Saccharomyces cerevisiae S288C: one gene and its partner. The protein of the gene in region 1 interacts with the protein of each later gene in a biochemical or structural test. Each region holds a gene or a part of one and is shown on either strand. Other genes may lie near its edges.

Region 1 (3,657 bases):
AAATTGCATTTTGTGCGGATTGTATGAGAATCTTTGTTGCTGAGAAGCATTGATAACTTTGAAGTAGTCCCTCCAGTCCAACGCCTTGGAGCTTTCTGGCTTGAAAGGCTGTTTATATTCATCTCTTTCGGTGGGCTGTCGCATGGGTGAAGATAATGAAACATTTTGTAAGGATGAATCAGCAGCGATCGGCATTTCATCGTCACTGTTGTTCTCATCGTCATCTGTCCGTCCCAAGATATTCTCCTCATGTTGAATAGGGTGTTCATGACTCCATTCGACTTTCTCACGTTCTTTCATCTCCTGTATAACTTCTTTAACCCCGCTCTGGTCGATGAAAAGGCCTCTTTCTTGTTGTTTCCATACTGCAGCAAATTGCTCGAGAAATTTTATTGTAGCAGGCCCTTGTCTCCAGTTAGCACCTATATTAGTGCCAACGAATTCTGCAAGAGCAGACAGTCCATCAGATTTAATTGATAAACCATATTTTCTTGATAAAACTCTATACGCCAGTGGCCTAAGCAGCGGAGGCTGAATTTTAACAGGCAGAACATTCCCAGAGCCAAACATTTCACACATAGACGCTTCTAGTTCCACTTACAAACTTTAAAGGCATAAACAAGTCATCTCAACTTTATTGTAACATGTGTTAAAGATGCCCAGTTGAAATATTTTTCTATTATGTCACGCGAAAAATAACGCGTCACATCACTTTTGTTCCTTTTGTCGTTTTTCTTCTTTTAGATTCCATCTTGAAAAGAGATGAAATGGACAAAGTAACATAATTTAGACCCAACAAAGTAAAAAGAAGGTTGGGTTGGCATTGAAGATCACAATGGGAATTCAGGAAAAGACATTGGGGATACGAAAAGAGCGCAAATTGGTGGTTGTGCCTCGCGAAAGAAATCATGTTAGACACGCTTCACAAAGGACACGTTCTAAAAACTACAAGAATATCTCCAAAAAGAGGGCTCAACAACACGCGTTTGGATTCAATATTGCTAAGACTCTTGCCAAGATCCAAGCGTTTGTATGGGGGTCTCCCGCAGATGAGGAAGAAGAAAGCGTTGTCCCATTGTCTAAAAATTCTCAGGATTGTGTGCCTCTACAATGGCAAGCAAAGTTTGCGCAATTGCGGCAGCAGCTGCACTCTACACAAAAGGAACTACAATTTGTCAAGGAAAAGTGTCATCTGTTGCAGTCGGTGTTGGACGACGCAAACATCGATCAAAGATACCTGGAGTCTCGTCGAGACATGAAAAATATTGAGCGAGACAACCTCAAACCGACAGAAAATTTACCACCTTCGCCAGTAAGAGCAGTAAACCCGTTAGTGACTTCAAGTCCGATTCACATGTCGCCACTCCAGTCGCGCCAACGACCAGTTTCTTCCCTACAGCCCCCAAAGGGCCCCAACTTCTACGCCAAGTATCCTAAGCTTCCTCAAACGAACATTCTCAGAGAATCTCCGACTGAGGATTCGGTTCCGCACGCTGAATAGAAACACAACACGTCATGGTTGTTCTTTCTGTACATCTATTTATTCTTGCTTGATGATATTTATTGTATTGCTTTACGGGTACCCCCGCTGGGTGAAAAAAAAAAAAAAATAAGAACTTCATGATATCGAACGATTTAATCGTGGGTTGAGGACATGGAAGACAAAAATAAAGCAGCATAGAGTGCCTATAGTAGATGGGGTACAAATGAGCACGGGAGATTTTTTAACTAAGGGAATAGAACTGGTTCAAAAGGCCATTGACCTGGACACAGCCACGCAGTATGAGGAGGCGTATACAGCATACTATAACGGATTAGATTATTTGATGTTGGCTTTGAAATACGAGAAAAACCCTAAGTCGAAGGATTTGATAAGAGCGAAGTTTACAGAGTATCTAAACCGTGCAGAGCAGTTGAAAAAGCACTTGGAAAGTGAAGAGGCAAACGCGGCAAAGAAATCTCCTAGCGCTGGTAGTGGTTCCAACGGTGGTAATAAGAAAATCTCTCAGGAAGAGGGTGAGGATAATGGTGGAGAAGACAACAAAAAGCTAAGAGGTGCCTTATCGAGTGCTATTTTGTCTGAGAAGCCCAATGTTAAGTGGGAAGACGTGGCTGGACTGGAAGGAGCCAAAGAGGCCCTTAAAGAAGCCGTTATTTTACCTGTCAAGTTCCCACATTTGTTCAAAGGTAACCGTAAGCCCACTTCGGGAATCTTATTGTACGGACCACCAGGTACAGGTAAATCATATTTGGCAAAAGCAGTGGCCACCGAGGCCAATTCTACCTTTTTCAGTGTTAGTTCCAGTGATTTGGTTTCTAAGTGGATGGGTGAATCTGAAAAACTTGTCAAACAGTTATTTGCGATGGCAAGAGAAAATAAACCTTCTATTATTTTTATAGATGAAGTGGATGCGCTAACAGGTACCAGAGGAGAAGGAGAGAGCGAAGCAAGTAGAAGAATTAAAACAGAATTATTGGTACAAATGAATGGTGTTGGGAATGACTCCCAAGGTGTTTTGGTCCTTGGCGCAACAAATATCCCATGGCAACTGGACAGTGCCATCAGGAGAAGATTTGAAAGAAGAATATATATACCATTACCAGATTTGGCGGCAAGAACCACCATGTTCGAGATTAACGTCGGCGACACTCCATGCGTATTGACCAAGGAAGATTATAGAACTTTAGGTGCAATGACTGAAGGTTATTCCGGGAGTGATATTGCTGTAGTGGTGAAAGATGCGCTAATGCAACCGATAAGAAAAATTCAAAGCGCGACACATTTCAAAGATGTCTCTACGGAGGACGACGAAACAAGAAAACTAACACCATGCTCTCCAGGTGATGATGGCGCCATCGAGATGAGTTGGACGGATATTGAAGCTGATGAATTAAAAGAACCAGATCTCACCATAAAGGATTTCTTAAAGGCTATCAAATCGACGAGACCTACCGTGAATGAGGATGACTTGCTGAAGCAAGAACAGTTCACTAGAGATTTTGGTCAAGAAGGTAACTAGTCAATTGATTAACGTGCTAATGTAGATTTCTTGTGTACATGAAAATAAAAAATAAAAAAAAAAAAAAAACAGAATAATTAAATACAGAATCGTATGCAAAATAGATAAAGAAAAGCAGAGGACAGTTAACTCTTCCCTTTACTTAGAAACATTGTTCTGTTCTCATTATTGGATACCCTAGCATTATCAATTCTAACTTTAACAACGGCGGTGTTCTTTTCAAATATAAAAGCTTTCGCATCAGGATTAGCCTTTAGTATTAAATCTTTATAGTACTTGGATTCTTCACTTTCAGGATTGACAATTTCGGTTTCGCCACCAATAGATGCGCTCATTTGGTTCAATTCGGCTTGATTTAACTCCTGTAACAAATTTAAAAGCTCGCTTTGACGTTGCTCTTCATGAGGAATAGAAGTCGGCGTCGGAGTCCCAGAGATGCTTTCCTTGCCCACTGACAAATTATTCGCGATGATCCAATCGTGAAACAACAGGGCGACCTTAGGGTTCTCCTTGATGTTGTAAAACTTTTGTGTGTCCTGAGGAGAAACAAATATAATGTAGTCATTCTTATTATCTGTTTGACCGAACAGTTTTTCACCTGGCACATAGATATAGTTCATCAATGCCACTGAAGGGA
Region 2 (4,792 bases), 490 kb from region 1:
TCGAATTTTTAAGCGAAATCGAGGATGATGACGATTGGGAGACAAACTCCTACGTTGAAGATATCCCACGAAAGGAATATATTCATAAGAGGAGCGCGAAATCTCAAACTGAAAAAAGTGAGTCGTCTATGAAAGCAAGTTTTCAAAAAAAAACTGCACAGTCTAGCACGAAAAAGAAGAGAAAGGCGTACCCACCTCACATACAGCAAAATCGTAGATTGAAGACGGGATATCGGAGCTTTATTATCGCTATTATGGATAATGGCCTTATTTCGTTTGTAAAAATGTCCGAGGCTGATTTTGGATCTGAAAGTGTATGGTATACACCTAATACTCAAAAGAAAGTAGATCAAAGATGGAAGAAGCATTAAAGGGACTTTTGCTAAATCGCAGTTTCTTTATCCTTGCAAAACTGGCTTTCAACAAATCCGGTATATATATAATTATCATATTAGTTGAAAAAAAAAAGCTACAATAAAATTAAGAAATAAGAAATGCACCTAACTGCTGTATTTGGAGTACATATTTTCATCAAAAACAGAGGGTCTATTGTAAAAGGACGTAGGATTCTCTTGCAGTTCACGTTCTTCGTTTTCAACTGCTTTACGTCTTCTCAAGTCGTACATATCCTCTTGCGATTGTTTCGGTGGTACTGGTGGGGCTGCCATAGTAGGCGTTGCAGCATATGGCGAAGCTTCATAAGTTCTTGGTGGAATACCGGGTCCTTGAGGTAAATCACTGCCGGCACTTATTTTGAGATTTTGAAATTGGTCCCCTAAATTGAGCCCTTGTCTAGATAATGACTGAAAGGCTGCACTTTTTTGGGGCAGTAATGGAGGACCCCCAACGACAGACGCTTTAGAATCAAGTGGAGGGAGGGGAGGAGCGGGAGAATTAGCTGTTGAATCCTCGGTCTGCTTTGCAACTCTCACTCTTTCTGCTAAGTCTCTACTCATATTGAATAATGAATCATAGAACTCTATTCCTTTTGGCAAGTCGGATGCAAAAATACTGAATGATTTCACTGCTTCTTGCAGCTTATCAAAAAAATTCTTACGATCTTCTAAAAATTTTTCTTCCCCAGAAGATTTATCCTTGAAATTTGAAAGGTGAAAAATTTCATCTAGCTTGGCTTTGATGTCATCTATCATTGAAGATTGTTTGTAAATTGTCGCCTCTATTCTTGTGCTCAAAGGCTCGAATTTCTCCAGTTCCACCTCGAATAAATCTTTGAGCTCAACATCGGATTTCCCCTTATTAATAATTAATAATTTTGTGATATCATCGTTGTTGATTTCGTCTCTTAGTTCAGACAAATTTCTCGAACGTTCCTCTTTCAATGTTCTTAAGTCTTCCGCATGGCCCTTTACTTGTTTTAACAACTCTAATATCTTGTCGTTTTTGGTATCATCGATATCCAATAGGCTAGGTTGTGGAGGCGTATTGCGATTAAATTCGTCAAACTTCTTCCATATTTTTCCATTGTCATTCAATAGATTGATCTCGACAATATGTGGTTTTACGCATGCGAACAATTTTTCGTCTGAGTTTGAAGCAGCTACTAAAGAAGATTTTAGTTTTGTAACATTTTCTTTTTGATCATTGGGTAAGGCAGAAAGGATTTCTAAAATTTGTTTCCTTTTGAAAACAATTTTGTTCATCTGTTCTTCTATATCCCTAAATTCATTTGTTTGGATAAATTTACACCATGTCTGAATTTGGTCCCTCATCAATTGTCCCTGTGTATCCGTATTCGAGAAAATATTTCCGTCACTAAATTGTTTTTCCAAATCACTCAAGAGCCTGGGTAGATTTGTAAATTCGATGAAGGAAGAATATTCCAAATTTGCTGTCTCAGTTTCTTCAACTTGCTTTCTCAACAGCGTCGCTTTTTCTTCTGAGTAAATACTTTCCTTTTCATAGACATCTAGGGGAATAATTCCTCTGTACAAAGAGTCACATTTATTTGCAACATCTTGCATATATGGTTCTAATATCTTCTCCCATGTTGGAGATTTTATTGCATCGAGCGCCTTAATGGAATCAACCTGCACAACGGCTGGAACGCTTTCATGATATATAAAATCGTTATCTTTAATCAACTCCTTTTGTTTCTTTTCTAAAGTTTCTTTAAACCCATCAAAGTCTATAAATTCCACTAACCACGTTTTGAATGGAAGGGATGAAATCAATTGTTGCATAGAAAAATCGAGAAAAGCAATTGCTTCGCCAACTCTATTTTCTTCTTCAAGGTGTAAACCGTGATAATAAGCGCTTAACGATTTGTAGAAATGCAGTTTGCAAGTAACTGTCGTTTTCCATTTGGGTTCACCATAAATGGCCACATCGTCATCTATTTCTTTCATAAAATCGTGACATTTCTGAAAGAGGTTACACGTGGCTCTAGAAAGTTTACTGATTAATGTATATTGCTTGGATGATATTTGATCATTTAATAATTTCAAGACAAACAATTCTTGAGCTTCTGCATGGCAAATATTAGCCAGAAACCTAGTGTTTTCTGACTGAAGATCGACTGAAGGTGAGTTCAAAAAATTTTCTGATAGATATTCAAAACAGGAAAAAGCTTTTGTCAAATTTGCGATTGAGTTTTTGTAGTCCTCATTGATATTCTCCCTCGCAATTTGGGTAAAGATTACAGCAATGTTGAACAAAGTACAAGACTTTTCAAATGCTAACGTATGTTGCGTGTATTTCAATCCTTTCTGGGCCGATGAGTATTCTGCGTCATACCAAGTGAAATCCATTTTTAATCTTGATCCTTTGCTACCCAGGCGAAAATAAAGATGCTCCAAAAATGAGTAATATTTTAGATTTTGTTCCGACAATGAAGAAGGTGCTAGTTCTCCATTTGCATTATTCCTTAAGTGATCCAGTTCTGAAGTAGCTTTCTCATCATAAAATGTTCTCCATTGTGAGGAGCCGTATGATTTCTTGAGATATGAGGAGAGGCCTTTTTTCCAATCCAGCTTCTCTGTGTCTTTTAGCTTTAGGTCAAATAAGTAAGGTTTCATGAGTAGAACCAGTGAGTAATGAACCTAGTAATGCTCCAGTCAGCCGCTTTCTGATTCAAGATTTTTCCACGACAACCCCCTTAGTACTTCTTCGAATTGTAACTGAAGCCTTGCTTGCTTTCTGTTTCTCGGTGATCCTAACCCGGAACCGGCGTCCTGCATTAATCGAAGCAAGAAAATGAGGTATGATAGAATAATATTAGTATAAGCAAAGTTTCAGATCGCATTCATCTGATTTCTTACTGACAACGATGCATAACCTAAATACGGATTCCTGTAATCATTGTTTTAATAAAATTTACTACGGTTTTTATAAGTATATAATATACATCAAGAAAAGGGAAGGCATAAGGGTACCATGAAAGAAAAACGTATTACTATAATTATTGTATGTTATCCATTACATTAACATAGCCTCTCGCTGTTTTCTTCTTCCTTCTCGTACTTGCTGGTTTGGGTCCTCCTGCCAAACTCAATAAATCATCCAAACCGTTTGCCTTTTTGCTAGTCAAGTTTACGCCAGAAATCCTTGATATGGGAGAGGATGGTGATGGAGAATTGTTTGGATTGGGTCCTGTAGGAGAAGGGGATGTTTTGATCGGCAAAGGCTCACCAGTGATTGGATTGTTCGGAATAACTGATGTGGCATGTACTGGAGGTAGGGAATTATTGATGGGGCCTGAACGTGGCTTTGTCTTTGGGCCGCCATCTTTACGTTTCACGATTGGAGGAGGTGGTGGTGCCGAACTTTCAATAATTTTTTGTTTTTCCTCTTCGGTTGCGTCCTTATTCACCCAACGTTTCAATTTTTCATCATAGTATAGTGTGTTTTTATGACCTAGCTTGGCCTTATACACTTTTTTGTCGCCAGTATCTTTCTTCAACCAACCAAACCAACCATTAGACTTGTCATCTATGTCCTTGTTACTTGGTTTTGTTTCCTTTTTCATATTCACATTCTTTTTTTCTTCCTTTCTGTTCTTTGCCTCATCAGTAGACATATTGTCGTCATCGGATTCATCTTCAATAACGTCATTGTATTTATCCGCATCTGATTCCAACGGTTTAAAAGCCCTGTATTGGTTAGTTGAAGCCTTCCTAATAGTAGGTTGAAAAGTGTCTTTCTCGACGACTTCGGCTTTCTTTATTGGGCTGAATCTATTTTCTGAAGCAACATTTCCATTACTTTGTGCCTGGGATGTTGATTCAGATAATTCGAATGAAGCAGTTTCATTTGCTTGGTTGACCAAAGGAAAGTATTGTGATGGATTGGATGCATGTGCTTGGTGAGTTCTTGCATATATAGCAGGCGATGTTTTCAGAATCGTTGATTCATCGCCATCTGCACTAGCGGCAGTTGATTGAGGCACGTATGGTGAGTAGTTCATTTTGGTTGCGTCAGTACTTTTTGGCTTTGGTGGTGCCATATGTTGCTCCACAAGTTTGGATGCTTTATTATTAACATTTCTTGGAACATCTTGCACTTGAGAAATTGGTTTAGCTTCCATTGAAATACTTCCTGCTGGCAAGTATGTGGATTGAACTGTCTCTGAGATACTGTTTTCATCCTGAGTTAGCGGTCTGTTTTCGAGTGACAATCCACCAGTTGATGGTAAATATGCTGATGATGCTGATTTTGAAATGTTTTCTGGCTGCTCCTCGCTACTTCTTTCATTTTCAATGGAGGGAAGTGAATTTTCCATTTTCGATGCATCAGTACCCCGGACCTCCACGTTAGTTTGAAGAATCGGTTGGAT

The links. The genes of interacting proteins can lie anywhere in the genome.
Region 2: the proteins of VPS4 (region 1) and BRO1 form a complex in vitro, tested with the Saccharomyces cerevisiae proteins (3 studies listed by BioGRID).

The regions. Positions count from the first base shown.
Region 1 is NC_001148.4:885,887-889,543, reverse strand, and holds VPS4 (AAA family ATPase VPS4), read left to right. Parts: upstream 1-1,706; coding exon 1,707-3,020; downstream 3,021-3,657. Other genes in the region: DPB2 (DNA polymerase epsilon noncatalytic subunit), read right to left, coding at 1-570; CSA1 (Csa1p), read left to right, coding at 836-1,501; YPR172W (pyridoxal 5'-phosphate synthase), read right to left, coding at 3,146-3,657. UniProt on the Saccharomyces cerevisiae protein: Involved in the transport of biosynthetic membrane proteins from the prevacuolar/endosomal compartment to the vacuole. Required for multivesicular body (MVB) protein sorting.
Region 2 is NC_001148.4:392,281-397,072, reverse strand, and holds BRO1 (Bro1p), read right to left. Parts: upstream 3,036-4,792; coding exon 501-3,035; downstream 1-500. Other genes in the region: tRNA splicing endonuclease subunit SEN54, read left to right, coding at 1-371; COPII coat assembly protein SEC16, read right to left, coding at 3,419-4,792. UniProt on the Saccharomyces cerevisiae protein: Class E VPS protein involved in concentration and sorting of cargo proteins of the multivesicular body (MVB) for incorporation into intralumenal vesicles. Fusion between endosomes and the vacuole will then target the cargo proteins to the vacuolar lumen.